Linked DNA regions of Arabidopsis thaliana. The protein of the gene in region 1 interacts with the protein of each later gene in a pairwise test. Each region holds a gene or a part of one and is shown in the gene's direction. Other genes may lie near its edges.

Region 1 (7,625 bases):
TTAAATCACAAAAGAAACTTATATCCAAAGCTTTTTTTATTGCTTGCTATGGAACGAGTTGTGAGAACATAAGTATTCTGCTTTTCTTTCAGAAAAGAGGTGCAACTATCTACGCAGAGTTCCTCGGTGGGAGTTTCACATGTGATGCCTATCACATGACCGAGCCTCACCCTGATGGTAGTTTCATTTTCCCCTAATTTATATTAGTCTGCTAGTCAACTACAAATTTGAAATCTCTTTTTTCTATAATTTTTTTGTCATTATCCCATTTTTCTTAAATCCGCAGGGGCTGGTGTTATTCTCTGTATTGAGAGAGCGTTAGCTAGTGCTGGGATTTCCAAGGAACAAATAAATTACATAAATGCACATGCAACCTCAACGCATGCTGGAGATATTAAGGAATACCAAGCCCTTGCTCACTGTTTTGGCCAAAATCCTGAGGTAGCTTCAGTTCTTTGTTACAAAATTCCGAAGTGCCTTTTTATGTGCTTTTCTTGATCTTTCTCGATGTGGCAGCTTAAGGTAAATTCCACAAAATCTATGATTGGACACTTGCTGGGAGCTGCTGGGGCCGTGGAGGCTGTTGCAACTGTGCAGGTAACTCATTTGACTCGGTGTATCTACAAGGAAGGAAGTGTTGTTGAAACCAAGTTTTAGCATAGAGCGAAATTATGTGCAATCTTCGCATTTTTAATGTTAATATTCTGTTGCTATCTACAGGCGATACGGACCGGATGGGTTCATCCAAATATCAACCTCGAGAATCCAGACAGTGGAGTGGTATGTTAGTTTCATATGAGTTCAATACCTATACAAAGACCTTTTAATGTTCGTAAAAAAAAACTCTTGGGAGTTTTAATAATCGTACTGTGAAATGAAATTGGAGCAGGATACAAAGCTGCTGGTGGGTCCTAAGAAGGAGAGACTGGACATTAAAGCAGCCTTGTCAAATTCATTCGGGTTTGGTGGTCATAACTCCAGCATCATTTTTGCTCCTTACAAGTGAAAGCGAAAGCAGTTGCTTGTACTCCAAACCTGATTGTATAACTTGCTGTAAGGTAAAAAGTTACATCCATTGTACATTTGTGTATCATCAGATTCTTAGAGGAATTGAAGGACAGTTAACTCTTTTGACCTTTCTATATTTATTACTTTGGCTGAGATGGATCATTGGCAATAATGAATTGGAAGTTTGTGCAAGTTCCCTTTGAAGTATTGTCGGTCCAGAAATGCTCTAAAATGATTTGGGATGGACTAAGAATTTGTTATGAAGCTGAGTGTTTAAATTATGTGCAGTGTTTTACAAGAAGTTTCCCATGTTATGCTAGTGTTACGTCGAGGGAATCAACAGAGTTTGTTCAACTACCAAGAGCTAAGCTAAGTTTCTTAGGATCAAGATCTGATGAGCCAAAGACTTGGACAGGAGCTAAAACGTGCTAGAGATATCAGAGTTTGGATTCGCCATTAAAATTCTGTTTCTTGTGATACCTTCTTATTGGAAATCTTTGTAGTCTTTACATTTCTATTGTTTAACATGAAATCTCAAAAAATGCCAAATCAATTCTCAATTTTAAATTTAGTAGCTCTTGACAGTTTTCCCTTTGTTAATTACATATATAGAGAGTAACTAAATCATCTTTTGAAAGGTAAAAACTAAAAAAATATATTCCAAGGGCCCAATGTTTTACCACTTTCATATGTAAGCTTATTTTCTGTTAAATATGTGAAAGAAAGAAGAGGAATGAATCAGCTGTGAAAACCAAGAGCAAGTATAAAAACATGGCTAAAAGGGTATCAATCAGCCTTGTATAAGAGAGCCATAAGTAGATAAAGTTTCTACAGTAAAAACAGGAATATAGAGTACTATTCCTTAATTAGCTTATGTTCTTCTATTCTTCTTGTGACCTCTATCTTGCATTTTTGTGACCACCCCACTTGCCTTCTTCTTTTTGGTTGCATACTCTAAATAATATCCAGACTTTGATGTCTTTATGCGCTCTGGGTTCTTCTTGTGACCCCTCTTCCTTGTAATTGTATGTACCTGCAGCTTCTTCTGATTTTGTTTCTTATGGATATGTTTGTGATGTATAAAATTTTGTGAAGATGTTTATAAAACAGTTAAAAACCAAATTAACCAATCATCCTTATTTTCTCACGAGCCACTCTATGAACCTTACGTTATCTCGATGTACCTGTAATGAGTTAGCAATTACTACAATCCAAGTCAATAAAATAACAAGTTGGACGTTACGTTATAAAAGAAAATCAAACTTATTTGTGTGTTCCTAACAAACGCATGGGATAATAACAAGAGAATAAAAGACAGAGTGATAGGATCAACGGCTATTGTGCGTAGGAGAACACAGCTGCTATATAAGCCGCGTAACAGGTGATTACTCTGACTACGACACCAACAAGAAAAATTCTCTCAAATGTGGGCAGTTAAGTTAGACACGTGTAAGGTCGCGATTCATGGAGGAGACGTGCTCTTCCCGCTTTTTGTAATTATTTATTACTGTTGTCATAAATAAAACACTAAAAAAAAATTAATAAAAGGGAAAATACAAAACGTGATTTATGGATCAAATTTGCATTGGTGGTGGAGTTTTGGTTATGTAAGACCCACACCGTGTTCCCTCTATCTAACGCCGTTAATCCTCTTTTTTCCCCCAAATCATACCGTTAATTCTCTTTGAGTGCTAAAATATCACGCCGGTCTATGAGATTAAAATAGTAGACTAATTAATAGTGCTAAAAATACATAAATTAATGCCAAGAGATTCATCTTAAAAAAAAGGATATATGAACCAACTAAATGGTATAACTGAAAGACTATCATAATCAAATTTCATCTGAACATTGATTTGTTTGAACTAATTAATTTTAGGATTTTACGTTTTCATAATTTTTTATTTTATTTGAACATCTTGTAAGGGTAAAATGGTAAAAACAGGAGTAGTAAGAGGGTGAAATGGTTATTTCAAGTGTGAAGCGTGGGGACGTGGGTGACGGTGGTGATCTGAAACAGTGGTCTGCCGTTAAAACATTAAATTAAAACACGTGTTTTAAATGTCTCTATGTTAATTAATACTATAAGAGTATATTTTACTAATTTCCGTATCTGCAACCAGCGAAAAAAAAGTAATAAAGAGGTCCTCCATTTCTTCCTCGTGACAAAACGCACTTGGCAGAGAAAGATAAACAAGAACCCTAAGTTTTTTTATAAGATTCGAGAAAATTCAACAACTCAGGAAGGAAGATCCTTTTGCTCCAATTTCTCAATCGAAACGATTTCAATTTCGGTTTCAACGATGTCGAGTTTTTCTGCCGAGTGTTGGGACTTCTCTGGTCGTAAACCGAGCTTTTCACAAACATGTACTCGATTGAGTCGTTACCTGAAGGAGAAGGGTAGTTTTGGAGATCTGAGCTTAGGGATGACATGCAAGCCCGACGTTAATGGTAATCAACCTTTCTCTTTTAGATCTGTTCATTTCGTTTCTGCGAATTTTGAGTTTCCTGTTGCGAATTACGAATTATGAATCGATTACATGTTGTCTGGAAATTGAATCGTTGTAGAGAATCGATGATTAATGGATTTTGAATCAATTTCTATATATGTATGTATGTGTATGAATTTGTGGAGATGGTTCTGTGTTTGGTTTAAGCATAATCCTCTAAAGCCATAGGCCTGGTTTAGTCATTAAGTAGATTTTGTTTTGCAGTTGTTTGAGAGATTGGTGAATGATAATAATCTTTACTTTTGGATCAATTTTCGCAGGAGGTTCACGTCAGCCTACAATGATGAATCTGTTCCCTTGTGAAGCTTCAGGAATGGATTCTTCTGCTGGTCAAGAAGACATTAAACCGAAGACTATGTTTCCGAGACAATCAAGCTTTTCTTCTTCCTCTTCCTCTGGGACCAAAGAAGATGTACAGATGATCAAAGAGACTACTAAGTATGTGTTTATATGTATATAGTGAAAAGAATCGTCTCATATAGTAAGCTATGTTTCATCAGTTTAACTAATTTTTGTGTGATTTTGAACAGATCTGTGAAGCCAGAGTCTCAATCTGCTCCGTTGACTATATTCTACGGTGGTCGAGTTATGGTGTTTGATGATTTTTCTGCTGAGAAAGCTAAAGAAGTCATTGATTTGGCTAACAAAGGAAGTGCCAAAAGCTTCACATGTTTCACAGCTGAAGTAAACAATAACCATAGTGCTTATTCTCAAAAAGAGATTGCTTCTAGCCCAAATCCTGTTTGTAGTCCTGCAAAAACCGCAGCACAAGAGCCAATTCAGCCTAACCCGGCCTCTTTAGCCTGCGGTAATTGATCTCAGCCTCTTTTGGTTCAACCATCTCTGAGCTTGGCTTAGTCCTATTTCTCTAACTTTCTCTCTTTTTGATTTGTAGAACTCCCGATTGCAAGAAGAGCTTCACTTCATCGGTTCCTTGAGAAGAGGAAGGATAGGTAATGCATTTTAATGAAAACATAATATCTTGTTATTCCATAAGTTCTTGTTAAGCGAATTTCTCAATATCCTACTCGTAAACCTTTAACAGGATCACATCAAAGGCACCATACCAAATAGACGGTTCAGCTGAAGCGTCTTCCAAGCCTACTAACCCAGCTTGGCTCAGTTCACGGTAAACTTCGAGCCTGTCCGACCCAGAAGGCACAACTTGAGAGACCTTCTTGTAAGATTCTTCTGATGCTCCATCGTTACAAATATCAAGCTGCTCCTCTGTTCATTTTTTCTATAGATTAATTTCACCCCTAGTAGTTTTGTTTGTTTAACTCCCCCGAAAACTCATTATATTTGTATGAAATCAATATCAATAGTGTTCAATGTTTGCTTCTGGGGTTTAAGTTTTAGCCAGTGTGTATAACCCTTTCCTCTGCCGATCTCAACATTAGCTTGCAACTTTTGTAAGAAACATCACTTGTGTTTTTGTGTTGATGGCCATTAATATAATCCAAGTTTATTTAATCCGATTGTTTGTTCGTCACTTATTGAGAGCTGAAGCTTACAGTTAAGGAACAGAAATACTTAAAGCATTCTCGAAAATAAAGAAATGTCTAAAAAATGATGATTTTCTATCAAGTATTGTCGTGTGAAAGATTTTCTTTAACAAGTCTGCTATTGTTCAAAATACGTTTTAACCTATCTATCCATTATAGTATTAGCATTTTCGTTTTGTTGTTAAATACATGGCACAAACTATGTAGACTATTTTTGGTTAAAATACCAAGCCAGTTACAATTTTGTTTTTCCCAAAATACTAGTTATAACTTTGTAAAATATCCGAAGTCCATAATAAAAAGAGCTTCATAAATATCCAATAAGTGGAGTAGATCAGACCAGGCTTGGTAGGCCACGGGAATTCTGACCCACGATAACTTTTTTTCGTTCGGTCTTGAACAATGATTTGTTCGGTCTTGAACAATGATCATCCAACTAACAAAACGTAAATTTGGTCCAAAGACTGGTCCGAAATTCGTTATGATTAATAAGCCCGAAGAACCTAAGATCCAATTTTATCCGATTTGGAAAAAAATAACTGAATTTTTCAGCATTAACAAATCGCCAAGACTACGTAATTTGGATCGGACAGAATCGGCCCCGGACTTCATCTAATCAAAGTTGTTCAAAATGGTAGGGACTAAAGTTTTTACCAAAATATCATTGTTTTTTTAGTTGGGGAAAAGGATCTTTTATTAATTTCTGACAACGGGCCAGGATACAACAAGTTGCATATTTAAGGGCCCACGTGCATACATTGCACTAAGAATCATAATGATTTAAAACTCATAATTGTGTTTCTTCAAGTCTTAAATTTATTAAAACGTTATTTTGGTTTCTTCATTAAAATGATAGTACGCGTTCTCTATTATTTTTTGAAAGATAATTTAAGTTGTTTGTAATTAAGAAACTGAACTCGAGTAATAGCAAATTAGCAACACATTACATTTTTGAACGTAATTTTAATTTTATACCTCTATAAATATTTTGATTGGTAACGTTTTCTTTAAAATAAAACAGAAGTAAACCCACAGGACTTTGTATTTTTGATCAAAAAGTGTAAACATATTCAAACAAGTCTTCTAGCCACAAAGTTTTAGACTTGTGGAAAAAACAAAAAAAGACATGTGTATTGCACAATCTTACATTTTCAATTGATTGATTCAATGTTTTGGATACAGGGAATTGAGAAATTGGCATATATACATACATACTTGTTCTACAAAGCTATTTCACGAAATGATTATTGATTTATGTGATTCCGAGGAAAAGCCATAAACATTACTCGGTATTAAAAGTTAACAAAAAGCAAACTTCTATACAATGTGCTTTTTAACCTAACCAAAAATTTCACTTTTTTTTTTTTTGTTATTTTCTAACCTTTTTTCTTCTATTAAGGTAAAATGGAATGATGATCACTTTTTTTTTTATATATAAATAAAATATACTTCTCTTCGTATTATTGTGAATTGTGATCATCCTAAAATACGAATACTCCGGCAGATAATCTCTGTCCGGCGGCGTAAGGAGAGCTCAAAACGTCGGCGTTTCTTGAAACTTGCGTTTTACATTGCTCTTGTCGTTCGTCATTCATTATTTGCACTGATCTGCATTCGGCACTACAAAATCCCATCTCTCCTCTGCACACAACCCAAAAAAAAAAGGATCAGTTTCTAGAAAAAATACCAATAAAATATTGAATTAGTCTCCAATTTAACAAAGATCCAAGAAGCAATAATGCGATGAAACTTACTTGTACATGTATATGTCTTTGCCTTGAAGTTTCTTCTTACACAAGCAACACGAACTCAGAAACTCTGTTGGACCCCTAACACTCTGTCTTTCAATAACCGGTGGTTCATCGACGGTAACCATCGGTTTATGAACTCTCCGATAATCATTTTCAGACAATTCAAACCCGTCGTCGTTGTAATACACTTTGGTCGGCCCGTTTGGGCTCGTAACATAAGTGTATTCCTCATCCGACAGATCAATCTCCGGGCACCTGAATCTCCCGGAGTAACGAACCGGATCATGCCGGTTAATCCCGTTGCTAGTTTCCTCCAACGCAGCAACAATACCCAAACCGACACCACCAGAACCGAACCGCTTCGAGTGAACCGGGGAGGGGAAGTTCAAATCCAACGGACTTCTCGGACTGGCCGTGTACTCCTCCGGTTTAATAGCAGCAGATCTGCTTCTTGGAACCAACATCTCAGACAATTTACGGATCATTAGATGAGGTCTCTTGCTTAGTATCATAATCAAGAATTGAGAAACTACTGTTCTTGATAAAGAAAAGAAGAAGAAGAGTTAAACTGTTGTTGATTACAAAGAAAATAAACAGTAAAAGAATTGAGAGGAAGATAGAGAAAGAGGAAAGGAAGAAGAAGAAGGCAAAGGTAATAGGAAAGAAAGAATCTGATAGAAGAAGAAGAAGGAGATGGAGAAAGGTAGAGAGACTTTAGAGTTTAGCCCACTGATTATATTTCTCAAGTTTGGAATTTTGTGTGCTATGATTAATGATTGAAGTTTATAGAACGGCCCACCATCACCATTATTATTTTTGTATTTATTTATCTTGTTTGGTTTCTTTTATCG
Region 2 (7,715 bases), on another chromosome or scaffold:
ACGATTTAAGTGTGCCATCATCTCCGTTAATCTAGGGTTAGCTGGATAATTATCATTTACGTTTTGATGATGACAAAAAAGGATAAAGAACAAAAAGGTACATACTAATATATACATATATGTAAGGTTAAAGTTTGTTTGATGAGTGCTTAAATTCGATATTCTATTTAAAATTATATCTCTATTCGCTAAGGATTCAAATTCAAATAAGAGAAAAAAAATAAAAAGTAAATTATGCCCACCCCAAACTTTGCTATATATACAAGAAATATCACCTTCTCTTTAAAACCAATTAAAGAGACGCATTTAAAAGCAAATGACCAACAAGCGACTTCACCATCCATCTCTTACAACCCTCCAAGAACACTGGCTGTTTTCCTTCACTTTCTAGACAAAACAAAAACCATCTTCTAGAGAAAATAAACCAACATGGGAGAGACAGAAACCATGGCAACAAACTAACTAAACCATAGTATATATTATCTATACTAATATTATCGGCCCATGGGTAACGGAGACAAAGTCATGAGCCACTGGAGCTTCCACATCCCACGTCTCCATCATCATGAGCATGATCATGAAAAGGTACCAAAAGGGTGTTTGGCAGTGAAGGTAGGACAAGGAGAAGAGCAAGAGAGATTTGTGATTCCCGTTATGTACTTTAATCATCCTTTGTTTGGACAACTCTTGAAGGAAGCTGAAGAAGAGTTTGGTTTTGCTCAAAAAGGGACAATCACGATCCCTTGTCACGTTGAGGAGTTTAGGTATGTTCAAGGATTGATCGATCGAGAAAACACTAGATTTCTCGGTACTAATCTCCTTGATCATCACCATCATCATCACAACCATCTCATCCGGTGTTTTAGGGTTTGATGATATTGTTTTGGCTCTTTTTAAACTAGATATTATCTCATGCTGCTGATTATAAATAAATCTCGGTCTTCATTTCATCTTATCTTAAGGTGTGGCTTGTTGTTGTTGTTGTTGTTGTTGTTGTTGTTGTTGTTGTTGTTGTTGTTCATATATATATATATATATATATATATGTCTCATGATGATTAATTGTACGCTTATGCCCGATCATAAAAATAGAAAATCATCATCTTGTAATAATATTAAAATAATATGTATGTTGAACAATTAATATTTAGTTATTTACTATACTCAATCTCTTCTATGAGTTGACTTGTCAATTGAAATTTTATAATTTTATTAATGATTTGGAGAAGAAAGTAATTTTACATTTTTCCATTTTTATTTTAAAAATCATTTTTATTTTAAAAATCACTTTAGTTCAGGTTTTTTGTTGCTAAAATGTAAATATTCATAAGAATAAAAATGTTTAGGTTTACAGTTATATATTTTAGACTTATAGACTTGGTCTTATGGCAAAAAAAAAGGATTAAAACATGGAAGGAAAAACAATCAGTTTGTCGACTCAACGTATGCTATGAAGCAAACAATGTTAGAGAAAAAGATAAAGTGATACAAGATTTTGAAGTTCCTCCAAAGTGAGTTACAAAAGATGAAATTTGGCAATGAAAATTTATAAAAACTTCAAAAGTGGAAGCCTTTCACTGGAGGCCAATGGACTGATTCTATCGGCTTTGCCAAACTATTCTACAACAGGTTAATCATTTGGAGAAGAAAGTAATTTAGTGGTTATTTCACATATATACCACCATTCATCAATATAACTTCTATGTTACGTTTCCGTTCATAAAGATATGTGAAAACGAAGTTCCTGTAAATGAATGATTAAGTTAAGAAATTTATTCGCTAAATCTATAAATTCATCTGATCAACATTGTTGTCTACGCAATTGTTGTTCATTAAATCTTTACGGTCACAAAAATAACAACCTCATGATATGTTAGAAAAACTTTAATCATACACTTGCAAAAAAAAGTGAAGCAAAATCTACCATAAATATGCAATTGTGCAGTGGTCTTCTCCTCTTAATTTTGTTTGAAGTACGTATATTCGAAACTTTATTTCGATTATAATTTTTCGTACGATTCTTTATAAGTAAAGCAAAATAATGATGGATTGAAGAATCTTGAAAATGGAAAGAAATGGACGAGAGGCTTTTGACCATTTGTATGGCCAGAATAACAACACTCACTACCAAATACAATAACGTGATTTTGTTTAATAGATTAGATGCGGTAGGAATATATTATTCTTCGTGAACTAAAACCATGTTTTATAACGACAAAAAAAAACCCATGTTTTATAAGTTTATGGGCCAAAATTGGGCTTTTGTATTATAAACATGTTTACGGAAGTATTCAGCTAAGTATATATAAAAAAAAACAATTACACTAATTTATTTAAATTTTATTATTACCTACTTACAATTAGTAAAATTTAAAATTAACAAAAAAAAAACTTTTACTTACTTTTAGTTATTGTTTTAAGAAAAAACATCATTAATTACCCTACTTTTTTTTTTAATACTAGGAGGTTCTAAGCCAAAACATCTTAATTATTATATTGTTTATATGTCTAATAATATCCATAAATGTATTAAAAAAACTTAAAACATAAACTAAAGGGTAATAGATCATAATATTATTGAATGGAGTAAGAAAATGTATAAATTATAATTCAAAAAGAGAACTATAATCTGCTTTTCTACCCAAATGAAGTAAAATAAGACATCAATTTGCATTTCAATGGTCAGTTTTAAAGGTAAAATTAAAGACGTTAAACACGTGTAATGTAAAAGAGATCACTCATGAGTCATGACCAACCATATTCTTAGTTTATATAAGTAATTCACACCCCTTAAAAAGAAATATAGTCTATAATCAATCATACTTAGCATGAAAACGATGATCAAGTTTCTGCTGTTAATACTGGTGATCTCTCCTATGTCGATATGCGCCGAGAAGGACATGATGATAAATGAATGCCACAATGCAGACGTCCCAGCCATATGCATGCAATGTCTTGAATCCGACCCAAACTCCATTCACGCCGACCATATAGGCATAGCTGGCATCGTCATAAACTGTCTTGAATCCCACCTCCATATCATCACCAAGCAAGTTTTCACTTACAAATTATAACCAATATACAGAAATATCCTCTAATATATCAATTTTTTCATTTGTGTAGTAACATAACGAATTTATCGTCAAAGAAAGATAAAGGTGAAGTGAAAACAGCTCTGGAGATTTGCAAAAAAGACTTGTCGACGAATGCATCTACAATACTGTCGGAAGCCAAAACAAGTTTGAAAACCGGTGATTATGATAAAACCAACAAATCGATAAAGCTTGCGCTTGGCTTTCCTCTGAGATGTATGTTCAATCTCAAACGTGTCAAGTTCACGTCTCCCCAACTATTTAGTCAAATCAATATCTATGCTCAACTCTCTGACGCTGCTATGAGGATCATTGATCGCTTCTAATAAGTAATAACTCCTTATTGTTTTCTATATAACTCAACTTCGATCAATGCTTACCCCAATTTGAATAAATCATTTCCTTTATGAAATTTATAAAGTCACATATATCCATTTGTTGTAGCTCTCATGTTTTTTTTTTCTTTTCAAATTTGTCAAAATAAGTTTTCGTTTGAACCATCATTCAATATAAATCTAAATGATATATTGTCTTTTTTTTTTTTTTTTTTTTGGCAAAGAATGATATATTGTCTATTTCATCAAAGTTGGACCACTATACGATAAATTGTTGTTCTTATAACGTTAAAGTAGGAAAACAGTTCAGTTTTCACGTGACTAACTTACTACTATTGGAATATTTATCATAAACTTTAATTCACGAAAATCATTAATGAAAATTTGATATTACTACTATAATATCGTCTTCTCTATTAATTTAGAATCTTATTCATCCTTTTCCACTTGTCTTCTCTAACCCTCTAAATTCTCTTTGGTCGGGATCACTGGAAAGAAATGTATAATCTCACTTTCTCTCCATCATTGTCCTCTTCTTTGCTCTCTTTTACACAACAAACTCCTGCAGCCATAGTGTCCTCTTCTCCTCCGGATTTAGTACTTCAACAAAAACTCCGGTTTGTCGTGGAAACCTCACCGGACCGATGGGCTTATGTCATTTTTTGGCAAAAGATGTTTGATGATCAATCGGACCGGTCTTACTTGGTTTGGGTTGATGGTCATTTCTGTGGAAACAAGAACAACAATTCCCAAGAAAATGTTCATTTTTCTTTGCCTCTTATGTTATCTAATCAAAATATCCAAAATTTATTTAAATCAACTTCTTAAAAAAGTTCTATTAAGAAAATAATATAATTTTCCTTACCCTTGATTTTTTGTTTTTGTTTCTTTCTTAAGTATACAACAAACAGCATCGAGTGTGAGCTGATGATGGACGGTGGAGATGATCTGGAGTTGTTCTATGCCGCATCGTTTTACGGTGAAGATAGATCGCCGAGAAAGGAAGTATCCGATGAATCTTTGGTTTGGTTAACCGGTCCCGACGAGCTCCGGTTTAGCAACTACGAGAGGGCTAAAGAAGCCGGTTTTCACGGGGTACACACATTGGTCTCCATACCCATCAACAATGGCATTATCGAACTTGGTTCGTCTGAATCAATTATACAAAACCGGAACTTTATAAACCGAGTCAAGTCCATATTCGGGTCGGGTAAAACAACAAAACACACTAACCAAACCGGTTCTTACCCTAAACCGGCGGTATCAGATCATTCGAAAAGCGGAAATCAGCAATTCGGGTCGGAAAGAAAACGGAGGAGGAAACTTGAGACGACAAGGGTAGCTGCGGCGACGAAAGAGAAACATCATCCGGCGGTTTTGTCCCACGTGGAAGCGGAGAAGCAACGGAGAGAGAAGCTAAACCACCGGTTTTACGCTCTACGTGCCATCGTACCAAAAGTGTCACGAATGGACAAAGCGTCACTTTTATCCGACGCAGTTTCGTACATAGAAAGTCTTAAATCCAAAATCGATGATCTCGAAACTGAGATCAAGAAAATGAAGATGACGGAGACAGATAAATTAGACAACAGCAGCAGCAATACGTCTCCGTCTTCCGTTGAGTACCAAGTTAACCAGAAACCTTCAAAATCAAACAGAGGCTCTGACTTGGAAGTGCAAGTGAAGATCGTCGGAGAAGAAGCCATAATTAGGGTTCAGACAGAGAATGTGAACCATCCTACGTCGGCATTGATGAGTGCGTTAATGGAAATGGATTGTCGTGTACAACACGCGAACGCGTCGCGCTTGAGTCAGGTTATGGTTCAAGATGTTGTTGTTTTGGTTCCAGAAGGATTAAGATCGGAAGATAGGCTTAGGACCACACTTGTCCGAACCCTAAGCCTATAACAATTTCTTTGTTTTGTGACGTCAACATAGGATGTGATAATAATTTTTGTTTTTTTTTGCGACCTTTTGTTTTATTTGATAAGTACTAGAAAAATCAAATTCCTTCTAGCGATTAATGTTGTTTTATCAAAAGTTTGATCTCGTTGATACGTAGTTTATGTGTTACTTTTTTACTTTATTTCTCGTACGTACGTACTAGCTCGCTAAAAGCGCAAAGTGTTTGGTATATTGTCTTACTAAAACAATATAGAGACTGTATATTTTAAAAGAAACAACTCATTAATTGATCATTTGGAAATATTAGTTTGAAAACCATAGAGAAGACGGAGGAATTATAGACACACACACGCTTGTCCTATAATATTTAGGACCACTCTTCAGTGATAGCTTGCTAACAAATCAAGTCAATTACGTAATGAACTACCAATGCTTTATATTAATTATTCTTGGACGTACTGTTATATTAAGACACTGATTGGTTAATTTGGGGAAAAAATATTAGTACAATGCACAGAAAAATAAAGGGTACAATAATGTTGAGAAAAAAAAGTGGTACAATAATGCAAAGAGAAGAAAAGGGTACAATAATGCAATTGAATTGTATCTTTCTTATTTTGTTTGCTAATTACTAATTGCAAAAAATGTTTTTGTGCTTGAAAAAGTAATCATTCTGTATCTAACATTCACATATAAAACAGAACTAAACAATTTTGCATTTACTTAATGAGACAAAAATGTTTTGTTTTATTTGATGATCATGGTTTTATGTTTTTCTAAAAGAAATTAAAATATGTTATGCAACAAACTATCATGTGTCTATGTATACATAACCTATGATACAATATAGTTTCGACCTTAAGATTAAGTTTCTTTGACAGAAAGTCAGAAACAGTTATCTTTCACATGATCCCTTCTTCAATCCTGCTGCAACGATGTAACGGTTATGCAAAAATTTACTGATAGGTAAATCACATGAAAAATGGCCACATGCAAAAATTATGCCCGGTTCCAACTTCTAGGTTAATATGGTACTCAACAACAAAAAAAAATATTAACAATAAATACGTGTTTGTCTTCTTCTTCTTTATAGATGTTTCACTTTATAAATAGACTGTAAGTTTTTAAAACGCAATAAGAAAAACAACTGAAATCATTTTAGAAATCTTATGCGTGCAGAATAAATATTGGTGTTATGTGCATTTGAAGCTTTAGGCTTTAGCACTTTCTAAAACCTCGTTTTGAGCAAAGTCATTCAAAAGGAACTCTTAATATTTTTACAAATTGAAATAGCAATTGTAATTTAATCAGTAAAACCTCTATAAATTATCATGTTTATTAATTTATAGAGACAATATTTGGGCTAAAATATCAATTTGAGAACGGAAGAAAATTATTAATTTAATGAGATATTAATTTATTGAATATTAATTTATAGATTTTTGACTGTATATATTCTAAGCTTTGTTTTAAGAAAATTTAATCCGTTTAAAAAGATTTATCTTCATTAACCCCAAAAGAAATGATTTGTTTTAGCTTGGCCAATAGTCATGTATGGCCCAATCTGGTATAAAATCTCATAAAAAGTTTTATCTTCATTAACCCAAAGAAATGATTTGTATTAAGATGGGCCAATAGTCAAGTGTGGCCCAATTAGGAGTAAAATCTCATAAACGAAATGGGCCCATAATGGCCCAATATTTGTACACCACAATCGGAAACCCCTTTTGGGTCATTTCAAGTTTGACGAGAAACGTAAATCGCTATTTCTTCTATTCCTCCCTAAAAATCTACCAACGAGATTCTTCTCGAAAATTTCCTGCGCCTCTCCGTGTCTGTGAAATCGATTCAGGTAAATCACTCTTCTCGAATCGATGCTTGTTTTGTGAAATACCGATTCTATCAGATCTATTTGATAAATTTGTTGTTGTTGTTAGTCGTCTGTGTAGTTTATTCACCTTTTGTTTCGATTTTTGGGTCCTCACGAGATCTATGAATCGTTATCTGAAACAAAACTCGAAACTAGCAGATGATATGTTATTTAGCGCGATTAGGAAGAATAAAACGAGATTTGTTGGTAGCAGTGAGTTTCTTAGATCGGTTTTTTTATCGATTGTGTGAAAAAATTCACCATTCAGATGCTTTTATTGATTTGTGTCTTCTATAATTGAATTGAATTGTTTGATTCAGCAGCTTAATTATCTAATGGTTTTATGTGATTGTATTGGCTTGATTAGGGTTGAATATGCCTTGAAACTTCATTTCAATCCCACTATACACTATAGCTATAATCTGATATAAGTTCGTTTTCTCCTTTTGTGTGGCTTGATTATGTTTGATATATCTATGTACTTCAGGTTAAGGATGTCGAGAGCTACATACA

What was found. The genes of interacting proteins can lie anywhere in the genome.
Region 2: the proteins of TIFY10B (region 1) and AT4G00870 interact in a two-hybrid assay, tested with the Arabidopsis thaliana proteins (one study listed by BioGRID).

The regions. Positions count from the first base shown.
Region 1 is NC_003070.9:28,145,945-28,153,569, reverse strand, and holds TIFY10B (TIFY domain/Divergent CCT motif family protein), read left to right. Parts: upstream 1-3,123; 5' UTR 3,124-3,311; coding exon 3,312-3,459; intron 3,460-3,778; coding exon 3,779-3,956; intron 3,957-4,048; coding exon 4,049-4,326; intron 4,327-4,413; coding exon 4,414-4,471; coding exon of another isoform or gene 4,472-4,475; exon of another isoform or gene 4,476-4,563; coding exon 4,564-4,651; 3' UTR 4,652-4,995; downstream 4,996-7,625. Other genes in the region: FAB1 (fatty acid biosynthesis 1), read left to right, coding at 93-177, 287-441, 517-597, 721-780, 890-1,006; AT1G74940 (cyclin-dependent kinase, putative (DUF581)), read right to left, coding at 6,505-6,664, 6,778-7,286. UniProt on the Arabidopsis thaliana protein: Repressor of jasmonate responses. Jasmonoyl-isoleucine (JA-Ile) specifically promotes COI1-TIFY10B/JAZ2 interaction. Activated by MYC2, MYC3 and MYC4 transcription factors.
Region 2 is NC_003075.7:359,850-367,564, reverse strand, and holds AT4G00870 (basic helix-loop-helix (bHLH) DNA-binding superfamily protein), read left to right. Parts: upstream 1-3,855; 5' UTR 3,856-3,925; coding exon 3,926-4,186; intron 4,187-4,324; coding exon 4,325-5,335; 3' UTR 5,336-5,632; downstream 5,633-7,715. Other genes in the region: AT4G00883 (uncharacterized protein), read right to left, coding at 334-387, 490-849; AT4G00880 (SAUR-like auxin-responsive protein family), read left to right, coding at 505-873; AT4G00872 (Plant invertase/pectin methylesterase inhibitor superfamily protein), read left to right, coding at 2,829-3,049, 3,124-3,418; ATOZI1 (monopolar spindle protein (DUF1138)), read left to right, coding at 7,697-7,715.